2 linked regions of the Medicago truncatula genome follow. The protein of the gene in region 2 binds, or shares a complex with, the protein of the main gene of each other region. Links are inferred from orthologs where the notes say so. Each region holds a gene or a part of one and is shown on either strand. Other genes may lie near its edges.

Evidence for each region. Proteins that work in one complex are often made in the same cells at the same time.
Region 1: 50S ribosomal protein L10, chloroplastic (region 2) and 50S ribosomal protein L27, chloroplastic share a complex: the UniProt entries of both Arabidopsis thaliana proteins name them as parts of the 50S ribosomal subunit. The link is inferred for Medicago truncatula from reciprocal best matches to the Arabidopsis thaliana genes EMB3136 and RPL27.

What each region holds. Positions count from the first base shown.
Region 1 is NC_053044.1:6,288,305-6,295,346, reverse strand, and holds the start of 50S ribosomal protein L27, chloroplastic, read left to right. Parts: upstream 1-4,018; 5' UTR 4,019-4,098; coding exon 4,099-4,398; intron 4,399-6,357; coding exon 6,358-6,459; intron 6,460-6,549; coding exon 6,550-6,729; 3' UTR 6,730-7,042.
Region 2 is NC_053045.1:63,051,374-63,056,893, reverse strand, and holds 50S ribosomal protein L10, chloroplastic, read right to left. Parts: upstream 1,571-5,520; 5' UTR 1,502-1,570; coding exon 797-1,501; 3' UTR 526-796; downstream 1-525. UniProt on the Arabidopsis thaliana protein: This protein binds directly to 23S ribosomal RNA.

The sequences.
Region 1 (7,042 bases), on a different chromosome or scaffold from region 2:
CATTTTGAATAATTTATGTGAATAATTACGATGTGTGATGTTTTGTGTTATATGTTGGTGAATATTAGTAGCTTATTATAGTAATATTAGTGAAGGAATAAAATTAAATAGAATAATGAGGCAGTAAGGGCAAAATTGGAATAAGAGGGAATGTGTTAGGTTAAGAAAAAGGAGAGGTTAGGAAAAGAAGAGTCAGACACGTAAAACAGTTTTTGGAGGAAACGTGAAAGTGAGAAGTCAGAGAAGAGAAGAGCATTGTGAGAGGGCAAGGGAAAGCTTAAAGAATTCAAAGTTCATCCAATCTAAGGTAAGGGTGGGACTAACCTTCTTTAATATGAGTTCTATAATTCTGAAAAAGGGGCTAACTTTGATGTTGTTGATAATTGTGATGTTAAAGAAATTAGGGTTTTGAATTACAATTTGATTCTTGAAAGTGTAAGTAATCCAATGAATTAATTTGAAAGTTGTTGTTTAGGTTGTAGAGTAACCCTAGGTAATGTTTCCTATCAAATTTGGATCGAATGGGGTCAAAAATTGAGATTTTGAATAAAAGTGATTTTAAGTGTTTTTGGGAAATAAATGATTCTGGGATAAGCTGTTTTGGAGATTTGAAAATATGATTTTTCAGTAAAATATGATAGGATTTATTGAATAGAACGCGTAGGCGAAAACGGAATTGGAATCGGGTTAACGGTTGAGTTTTTACGTGTGAAATGGTAAAACCGGGAAAAAACCAGGATTGTACAGAGCTGCAGCGCATGTCACTAGCTACTGCCTGACCAGGCCTGGGTGCAGCTCGCCAGCGCCTGGGCGCAGCAAGACAGCCCTCATGGGTGACTGCTTTATTGTGCCTTCGTTTGCGTGCTGTCAGGACTTCGTATTTTGAGTTTTTGTGCTTTTTCACCCTTTTTCTGATTTGAATTGGCTTTGGTGTAAACATGAAGGTTTTAGATAATTATGTTATCTTTCCAATGGCGTTAGTTTGACTTGAAAATGTTTTGTGGATTTTGAGTTATGATGAAAACACTTCAAGTAGGTCTTGGGGAAATTTTAAAGAAATTTAGCATAACTATTTCCAAGTCATTCCAATACTTATGGTTTGGTTTCTAAACTTCAAACTTGAGTATTAAGGGGTTCAATTAAGGTATGCATGCTTGAGTTTCGTAATTATAAGTGTTTGAATGAAATTATTGTTTATTTGCGAAGAATAATGTTGATTAATTGTGAAATTGTGATGCGAAGTTGATGTTGTTGTTGTTGCATTTTAATTGTGTCATTGCATAATCATTTCATTTTAATTACGATGGCCTGGATTGGCACCACGATGGCCTGTATTGGTGATTTATTAAGCGAAAGGGGGTTGTAGCCTATCAAAGCCGAATCACGGCATTAGCGAAGGGAGTTGTAGCTCTGTTGGTACCACATGCATAATTGCATTGCATTGCATTTTATGAGTCATGTCGTTGCACTGTTGAGCGAAGTTAATTGATGATTTGTAGTTGGACTTATGTGAAGCATTGTTAATGATGAATTGCTGATGTTTTGTGTTGTTAAATTATTTTAAATGAATTATTGCTAATTATTATCGAGTGTGAAATCTCACCCCTTCTGTTTGAATGTTACCTCTATATGGGTAACGTGCAGATATTCAGGAGTAACAGCTGATGTGAGTTGAATTCTTGTGTCGTCATAGGAGTCATGCTCTGATACGTAACGGGATGGGAATTCTTATGTGTTTTATTTACCATTGTTACGTATCTTCTTATAATTTGATGTTTTACCACTTTTAGGTGAATTTTATATATGTTGTTGATGTTGAGGCCTCAGTGCCAAGTAATGCTTAAAGATTAAATATTTCCGCTGCGACATTATTTTGAATTATTGAAAGCAGTTGTTTAAATAAATAGTGAATTTAACTCTATTTGTGTTAAATGATATTTTGAAGAACGAAATGTGACATTCTGTTTGCGATGAACTCTGATTTATTTTATATTATTTATATGTTGGAAAAACGGGGTGTTACAACGTGTCCAACCAAAAAGAAGGTATTAACCCCATCACCGACTACCCTCCTCAGGTTATCATTGAACCAAATTCCGACTCCCATCTTAATCCCTTCACAAATCTTTCGTAGATCCCTCCACCACACAGAACTATCCCTCCCCCCTCCAAAAGTTACCCCCAAAAATTCACCATAACGGGTTGCTAGGACTTCGTACCACAACCCTCCGCTATCTACATGCATCCTCCAACACCATTTATCTAACAATGTTAAATTGAATTCCTTCATCCTCCTAATCCCCAAGCCACCATTTTTTTTTTACCTAAACAAACAGACTCCCAACTGACCCATGGAATCTTTCTAGAATCTGCCCCCTCCGAAGAGAAAAAAACATTTTAAAATAGAATGTATAGAGGTCATTATACATGTGAGAGCCTTGAAGAACGAAGAAAAATAGATCGGAAGAGAAGGCATGATAGGTTTCATTAGAATGATACGTCCTCGAAAAGACAAGTTTTTATTCGTCCACCCTAACAATCTAGTTTTAATTTGGTCAACCAACGGGTTAAATACAAGCTCATCAATAAATGAGTAAGGATCCTCTCCATTTATGAAAATAAACGATGGATGTCATTTTTAAGAAATAGAATGTTAAATTTAGTGATAATCACAATAATTTCTTTACTCAAAATACTAGACCAAGTGTATTCTTACAGCCCATATTCAATTAATTTTTGCAAAATTAAAATAAAAATCAATTATTTTTTATCAAATAATCTAGTTATTATAAATTCACATTTAATGTTGTCATGAGCTTAGCTCAATTGATATAGACAATGCATAATATATATAAGGTTTGGGTTCGCCACCACAAAAAAAATGTAAATGAGTGTGAAATCTGGAATTCCAACTCAATCGTGTGCATTTTATCAACAAAAAAACAAACTCAATGGTGTGTGTGTATAACTAGTGTGTTAACCTGTGCAATGCACGAGTGATAAACTATTATTTTTCAATCTCAATTTTTTTATTTTTTTATTGATGAAAAGCATCTATGCACCGTGAATTTTGAAATATGTCAATATTGTTTTGTTAAAAATAATATGTTAATATTTTTTTAGCCACAATGATGACAAATATGTGTCACATGTTTTTATGTTTATCAGTGGTAAATATATATCCCGTGTTTTTGTGTATAAATGAAAAATATATTTATGGGTTTTAGTTTGTCGTCGATGAAGCGCCGCAGCGGCTGTCCTTTTAGAGTCTTGGTGTGTGTTGATTCTATTGTGGTCACTGGTTTCGTTCAACATCGTCGACGTCTTGTAGAGCTATGGTGTTGACGCGATTATGAGTTAGTCTCAGTCTGTTTTTGGCTATTTTTTTTTCATTTTTGTTTATTGGCGTTTGTTTTCGTTTTGTTTCGTGGAAATGAAGATGGGTGGTGACTTTGTTTCGGCTCTGTGATTTTGTCTAAAAATCTCGAATCTGGTTTTTTGGATTGAAGATATGGGTTCTTTAGTTCTGGCTTCTTTGATGGATGCATATCTCGATTCAACATGACTGGTTTTATCTTAAGGTTCCTCGAAAGGGCTAGGTGCGTAGATGCTCTGTGTTGACGGTAGTATCGTTCATCATACCTAAAATATTTTATCCATCGTGGTTGCTTCTTGCATCGTTGGTGGACAGTGGTTGATTCTTATGTGTTGATTATACTTTGTTACTTTAGTATGTTATAAATGGTGTCATTAAAAAAAATTGTCTTAAATTGTGTAATTGAACTATGACTTTTATAATTCAACCTTACATTGCCACATGTAAATTTTCTTTTAAATTTGATCTTGAGATGTCATATGTATCGTTCATTTTAAACATTCTCAAATGTATCTATAGAAGATGTGATGTGTTATCAATGTGCTGCAGAAAAAAAATAATAATGTTTTTTTTTGAATGGCAGAAAAAAAAATTAATATACAAAAATATTAAAAAAAATCAATTAAATTCCAAATTTCCCCTTATCCACCTTCATTTTCATTTCATTCATCCCTTCTTGAGTCTTATCTCTCACTTCTTCAGACAACCCAGCAGTTTCCACCATGGCTGTATGCATGGGTTTCAACATAGCAACAGCATTCAAATCACTTTCTCTCTCTTCTCCCTCTTCTTCATCTTCATCTTCCTTTTTATCAGGTTCCACCACTCTTCGTATGACTCCATCAGTATCTCTCCCTCGAATTCATCATCGGTCAGCACTGATTATCCGGAATGCTCATAAGAAGGGAGCAGGAAGTACCAAGAATGGCCGTGACTCGGCCGGAAAGCGTCTCGGTGTTAAGGTTTATGGTGACCAGGTCGCTAAACCTGGTTCCATCATTGTTCGTCAGCGTGGAACCAAGGTGTGTTCATAATCAGTTTCTCTATTCCATTTTCAAATTTTAGACAAAAAAAAAATGACGTGTCATATGAATTTATGAAATTATGAACATGTTAATTGTCGTTAAGAATTATATTTTGGGTGAATTGAAAAAAATGAAATTGGTGTAGTTTGTGTTCAATTAGAGCTTATAGAAAGAATTAAAGAAAGGATTATAGATTGGTGTAATTGGCATGTTTAAAACCAGACACTGCCATCCAGAAGTCCTAGCTCATCTGACAAATGCCGAAATTGTTAGGCTGATACCATGACCGGGGTTCGAACCCCGGTACCTCCACTTGTGTGTGTGAGTTTATAATGGCTTTGCCATTTCGTCTATCTACCAAAAAAAAAAAAAAAAAACCAGACACTGCCTTGCTCTGCTTTGATATCCAAATTATCAATTACGAAATGTCACATTTTTGTTTTAATTAATCATTTGAGTCTGATATATGAGACTATGAAGCACAGACACCTCTGTCATTAAGGTCTCTGTGTCCGACACACGACATGTGTCCCCCAAAAAAATTATTTGCTTCAACACACTTTTACACTCCTTCGACACTCCTCGTAAACTTCTATGAGGCTTAAAATTGTGTTGAAGTAGTGATGATAAATGAAGGGGTTGAAGATATCATTTTTTTTTTAACTTTTCTGTATAGTAGATGAATGGATGGATGAGGTGAAAATTTGTTATATTTTGTTTAATAACTTTGTACCAAATGGCTCAATTTAGACGTACATATATATTTTAGTTCTCGATTTAGATCTTTAATAAATAATGCTCATATCTTATTTAATAATTATAAATAAATAAATATGTATGTATCAGTGTTTGTCCTATATTTTTAAAATTAGCATTGTCAATGTGTCCGTGAGGTGTCAGTGTCAGAGTTCGTTCTTCATAGCTTACTCGTAAGTACGCTTTGACACCACTCGTTTTTTAAGTCCTACGCTGACATTTGGACGGACATCCAAAGAGAGTGAGTTGGCAATTATACTATTTTGCCGATTTATATCATTAATTTCAAGATGCAATTATAAGAGTGAGAGTTGCAAAAATAGTGAGTTTTTATTGTTCTCTCTAGTTATGGGTTTTTTTTTGTTGTGGTTAGTCACTGAAAAACCCTTTTTCTTTGTTATGGGTTTTTTAAGTCAAGTTAAATGACAGAATTCATCTTCTATAAGAACTTGTTATTTTAAAAATTCTTAGATATTGTCTCTTTTTAATAAGTGTTTCCTTAGATGTTTAGGTCAATCAGAACAGGTAAAACATGTCTACTTTTGCAATTTATATGCTAGAGCCTAGAATTCCATATGAAGGGAACTAAGAATGATTAAGGTCTTTTGAATAATTGAGTTGCATTGTGTAATTGACAATATCACCATTGATACGATTGTTTTTTATCAGTATGGTAAAGTTGTAAGCGATTCCACAACTTTTATTGCACACTTTATACTGACTGAAAGAACTTCTCATGTTTGTTCTATACTGATTGTAATAAATGCTATTATGGAAATAATGTGGTCAATTTTTTAAATCGCAATCACGGTTAGTGGTGATCCTGGATATTATGGAAAAAAACATGAAAAAACACGGTCAATGTAGCTACTTTTTGCTGTTGCGATGCGGTTGCTGAGAGTTGAAAAACCTTCACATTGAGTTTGTATTTGTGGTTATAGGCACACAGAATATAGTAAATCATGATAAGGTTGTTACAGGCACACACAATATAGTAAATAGGTGCATTTGTTGTAGCAGTTTTTAAGATATTGTTGAATCTTTATTGCCTTGCTGTTTTTCTGACAATAACAACCAAAGTATTTTTTTTTTCCGATAGACTTGGCTAAATGCATCTAATGATGTTGTAATGTGAATGTCCTATCATGAAACTTACTGTTTCTCTAAGTTCTAATATTTTTTTCTTTGCAAAACTTGAAGTTTCACGCAGGAAAGAATGTAGGGATTGGTAAGGACCATACCATTTTCTCCCTAATTGATGGAGTTGTAAAATTTGAGAAATATGGACCAGACAAGAAAAAGGTAAAAAATAGTCTTTCACTGCTTTCTGTATATGACCTGTAATCCTACAGTACAAATTAACTAGCTAATAAAGTTGTAAAAATATTACAGATCAGTGTTTACCCACAAGAAGAACGGGTTCCGAACCCCGATAGCTATAGATTAAGGAAGATAAAGTACTTCAAGATGAGGCGTGAACGCAAAAAGGCTGCTAAAGAAAGAAGAGCTTTTCAACCACAGCTAATGCTCGCTTCCGTTGATGATACCGCAATAGAGAATCCAGATTGTTGATTCTATACTTCATTCACTTCACTGTGTAAAATCTAGCTGTCTTCAGTTGTTTTTCTTTTGTGTATCTGGGAAACCTTTAGCATTGTAATATTGTATTTGTTTTCTGGCAGCAAAATTGTACCGTACACGGCCAAAACTGTTCCCTAGTGTCCCCAAACCAATTACAAGACAGTATAGCCATTCACTATCAATTTGTTTGGGTGTGTAATTTTCTTTTTGAGTAAATGAAATGGTCTTTTGCTTTGTTTACATGATGTAACTCACATTTCACCTTTACAAGCTACCTAAGTTGATGTTTAGTTTCCCCCAAGTT
Region 2 (5,520 bases):
TCTGTAATGCTAAAATGACATAGTCATTGCAGTAAGTCAAGAAGTTCAATTGAATGAAGATTAAGCCATGAAACTCACAGTTTCAGTTGATTTTCCAATCCAACTTACCGCACTAAATATTAATCCAATTGAGTGAATGTGTGGTATTGTTACATAAGGTAATACATGTTAAGAGTTCTACGTTGGATAAAATATGACCGAAAAGTTGGTTTTGTAAGGCTTAAGTTAATCCCAACCCAAATTCTGAGACTCGGTATAAATGACAAACACTTCAAGTTGAACGAAGTCTCCAAAATATAACACTCAAATAAACAAAGGGAAAAAACACAACATCAAAATGGTACATGCACATAATAACCAATAATTAGTGAAATTGCATCATTCAATGGGAACAAAATTATCCATCAATCATCTCTACACTAACAGAAAAAAATATTGAACCATTCGACAATTTCTGATACAACAAGCTCAAAGCATCAAATGCACAGTTGTACACATAATCTGAAGGAACATAAACAAACATACTCAAATACAATAACCAATAATTAGTGAAATTGCATCATTCAATTGGAACAAATTATCCATCATCAGTATCCTAAGAGAAAAAATAATTGCATCATTCTACATTTTCTGATACAACAAGCTCAAAGCATCAAATGTACACTTGTATTGTACACATAATCTGAGGGAACATAAACATAAATAAACATGCTCAAATACAATAAAACAAAATCCACATTGTAACATAATTATAAAATCATAAAACAAATACACAAACAAGATTGAAAAAACTTATCTATAGAACAGCACTACCCTGTTCCTGTTCTTCAAGCTTCTTAATATGTGCCTTAAGAACCATAATAAGTTCTCTAGCAGGAGCTTGAATGGTAGTAACCAAAGCAGAAGAAGGACTTTTCAATGAACCCAACAAATTAGCATAAATCTCGCCACGTGTCGGCAATGTTTCAAGTTTCTTAAACTCATCAGGACCATAAAATTTCCCTTCAAAAACAGCACCAGTAAAATCATTTTCTTCAAGCTTCTTCTCTTTCTGAAAATCTCTATAAGGCTTAATAGCAGAGGGAATCTCTTCAGTATGAACAAACAACCACACATTCATACCTGTCATACATGGCTTCAACGTCTCCCATTGTGTTCCTTCAAGTGCTTTATAAACCAACGTGTTCTTCGCAACAACGAGTTTCGTTGTTTCAGGAAGAGTTTTTCGAAGTTCTTGAAATTGTTTTACGGTGAAGCCTTTGTAGTTGATTCCGGCGAGGAGGTAACAGTTTTCAAGTTGTTCTTTTACGGTTTCAACTGTTTCTTCTTTCTTTGTGCGTGAAATTGCGGCGTTGATGGATAAACGGTGGGTTTTGGAAATGGGTCTATGTTTGTATGATGTGGGTGGGTTGAATGGGTTAATGGGTCGGGTTAGGATTTGAAAAGATTGGGTTTTGGTGGATGGAAGAGAGAAGCTGAGTAGAGTTGCAGTAGCTTCCATGGTGATGATGGAAATGGAAGATGAAGAAAACTGAAAATGGGATAAAAGGGTTGGTTTGATTCATATTGGCTTATCTTATCCCTTTGTTTCTTTGGTTTTTCATCAATCACAATGGGGGCAATATGGTACTTTGCAATGGGTTTCAAATTTATTTTATTTTTTCAACTTTACTTATTTTTTAAATACTTGTATTAACTACTCAATAATATTAATTACTACCTCCGTCCCTAATTATAAGACCGTTTTGAAAGAAAAAAAAATTGTCCCTTTTTATAAGACTCATTTTCTATTTCCAACTACATTAATTATTTCTTTACATACATGCCCTTATTTATTATACATTTTTTTTCAATCAACAATAAATAACATGTTGAAAACATAAATCAACACTCTCTTAAAAGATAAAATTGTAAAAATAATAGTAATTACAAACATATTTAATAAAAATATTCACTCTCTTAATTCCCGTTATTTTTTTAAAAGGGTCCTATAATTAGGGACGGAGGTAGTATTCAATAACTTGTCTTCGTGACCTAAGCTTAGTTGGTATGGATTTATTTTTTAAATACTTTAGAAGTCTATTAACTATTCAATAATTTATTTTCGTGATCTTAGCTCGGTTGGTATGAACAATGCATAATATATGCAAGATCTAGGATTCAAAACCCGGCCACCAAAAAAAAAAAAACTATTCAATAATTTTGAAATTGGTTTCTAAACTAAATAAAATTATAATTAGGTTAATAAATTAGTAAATAATTTATAGTTAGATTTATGAACAAGGTTTTAGTTGAGTACTTAATTTTTTAAAAGGAAATGTTAACTTATGCTCTTGAGACATAAGTTTAGAAACTAAACATAGAAATATTTTCTTGAAAATTGTGCATTCAATGTATAAAAATCTTAAATTTTATCTTTTCAATACAAAAGTTATATTTTAATTCTCTTTTTAGCTTTTTAACTTGTATCCTTAAGACACGAAGAGTTAGCATGACTCTTTTCTAAATAATGTGTAATTGAGCTTGTATATTTTAAAATAATTTGTGCAAAGGTCTCTAAACTTGTTGGTAATTGTGAATTTTATTATAAATTATTAGAGTTTAAGAATCATTTGTAGACTTATTGCATTTTTGTTATGTGTATTTCACCAAAATTGCAATTATGCTTGACTTAGTCTAGTTAATTGTGATTGTAATTATTTAGCAGAATTTGAGTTTGATTTTTAGTTGTAATAATTTTCGATCATATTTTACTTACCTCTGGTCGAACTATATTTGAATGACTCGTTTTTCCTTAAAACGAGATGTTAACACCAAAAACATTAATAATTACATTAACAGATTTTTAATCCTCAAAGAAAATGACTAATTAATTGAACGTATTTCCAACAAGTTTTTTTTTTTTAAGGAAATGTTTGTAGTATTTCATTAGATTTTAATTCACAAATACACAGTGCCAAGGCATGAGCGATTTGATTGGTTTTTCTCCGACTAAACTCGACAAGAGAGTTTTTAAAAGCAAAATTACAATGATGTCTACATTCATACATGATTTTATCAAACTCAGTAATAACATTGCTTCCTTTCTGTAAATAATTCATCACCTTCATTGAGTCAAGAATAAAATCCATGTTATGAGAAACAACAACAAGGCTGTGAGGAACGATCCTGGTTCAGTTAATGTGCAGGCACGTGATGAGAAACAACGTTTAGCTGTGAGTATTCAGGAACAGGCGAAGAAAGTGCAGGTGAACCAGAATGTTGTTTCTTTCTATTTTACAAATATTCCTCTTGATATATCATATGTTTCATTGAGACAAGGTTTTGAGGTATGTGGTATATTGGAGGATGTTTACTTGGCACGTAAACGTAATGTTAATGGTGGTGCGTTTGGTTTTGTTCGTTATGGCAAAGTGAAGGATGTAGAGAAGCTCTTGAAGGCTTTGAACAATGTCTGGTTTGGAGATTGGAAGGTGGTGGCTAAGGTGGCGAGTTTTGGTAGGAATGGAGGTGGTAGGGGTGAAGGCAGTGTTAGGGGAGAGGGAGAAAAAATTAATGAGGGAGATAAAGAATTAGAGGGAGAAAAAAGAGAGCTGGGGGGAAGGAAGGTTGTTGACGGAGAGGCTCAAGGTGAAGGGAGGAGTAAGGGGCTTGAGGGAGATGTAGCTGCGAGAGGAGGGGTGGTTAGTAGAGAAGAAGCTGAGGCAAGGGTGGAGAAGAGGGTGAATGTGAGAGAACCGGTTGGTGCGAAGGTGGTTGTGGGAGAGGCTGCGAAGATCCACATTCCTAAATATACCTCCAAGGATCAGGATGTTTTATGGGCTAGTAGGGGATGGTTGCTACGGTTTTGAATGGAGATGCGATCCCTGTGTTGCAGCGACGTATTTTTGATGCGGGCTTTGAGAATTTAGACATAATTCCTTTGGGAGCTGATAAGGTCTTATTGAGAACTGAAGATGATAGTGATGTTAACTTATTGTTGGCTGAAGCATCGGAATTTTTTGCAAATTTTTTTTCTAATATTATGAACTGGAGGAAAGATATGGTGGTTCGCGAAAGAGGAGCTTGGGTGAGGATCTATGGGGTGCCGTTACAAGCGTGGAACTTGGATTTTTTCAAACTTTGTGTCTTTGACTATGGTCGTTTGTTGAAATTGGATGATTCCACTCTGGAAAAAATCCGGTTTGATTATGCTCGGGTTCTTATTTCTACGCCTTCTGTGGATTTAGTTATTTCAGATGCAAAGGTGATGATAGATGGAGCTATTTATGAACTTAAAATTGTGGAGGAGGGAGGGTTTTCGTTGGGTGAAGATGCTTGCTTATCGGAGGATGAGGAGGTTAAAGAAGAGGAGGATATGGAGGATGAGAGAAATATTGGGGATTTACATGTTGATGGTGAGGTTGATAATTTGATGAAGCATCTATCAGAGGAATGGCAGAAGGAGCAGCAGGACCTTCAGGTTCATAAGGTTATTCCTATTAACGATTTTCCTTCACTTGTTGAGAGTCCGGTGGTGGGTACTAAAGAGGTGTCGAAGGGTGTTACGGAGGTTTCCTCTCAAAATCCTTGCGCAGCTCAAACAGTTCCTTTACAACAAGCTAACAACAAGGTTGTTTTGGAGGATGATATCGCACGAGCTGATTTGGATCGAATTTCTTGTAGTGGTGCTAAGAGGAAGAAGCATCGTACGTCTTCATGTCATGTCCTCCTAGTCGGGTCCATACTGTATCGGCAGGTCCGTGGAGTTGGGAATGGGCACGTCAACATAAGGAGTTGGTGATTGGAGATGCAGCACCTGTTGAAATTTTAGACTTTAACAAACAGACTTCTAGTGCTATTAAAGTCACGAGAAAGAAGGGTAATAGTTCTTTTCGGCACTGTGCAATGAATTTGAAGCGTATTGCGAGGTTATCAGAGGAAGACCGTAAGGTTGTTTTGCGTGCCTTGCGCAAGAAGAAAAGGAGACATAAGGTGGTGTCAGATACTCATGTTAATAAGGTAAATTCGCCGGTTAGCTCTTCTGTTAATGATTCACAGTCATCTGTTAATTACGACTGGTCGAGTTGGTTAGTACTTCATGGTAATAGCAAGGCTTTATCGGATGATGTTAGGGGGATGGGAAAGTTAGTGGGGGTGAATTTTCAAGGGGATATTCAAAATAGGTTTGATGTGTTGTCAGGTGTTGGAAGAAAAAATAAAGAGGTTGATGGTGGAGAGAGGTAAGGCCGAGGGTTGGGATGAGGAGGTAAGGGTGTTTGTGGTGTTGTGGAGTGGGTAGTGTTAATGAAGATTATTCCTTGGAATGTTAGGGGCTTGGGTGGGTTTGAAAAGAGAAGGGAAGTGAGTAACTTGGTGAGGGAGAAAAATCCGTTTATCTTATGTTTACAAGAATCTAAATTATCTGTTGTAAATGATTTTGTGTGTAAAGGCCTATGGACTGATAACCGTGTTGATTTTTCTTATCAACCTTCGAGTGGGGCTTCAGGAGGTTTAATAACTCTTTGGAATTGTGAAGAG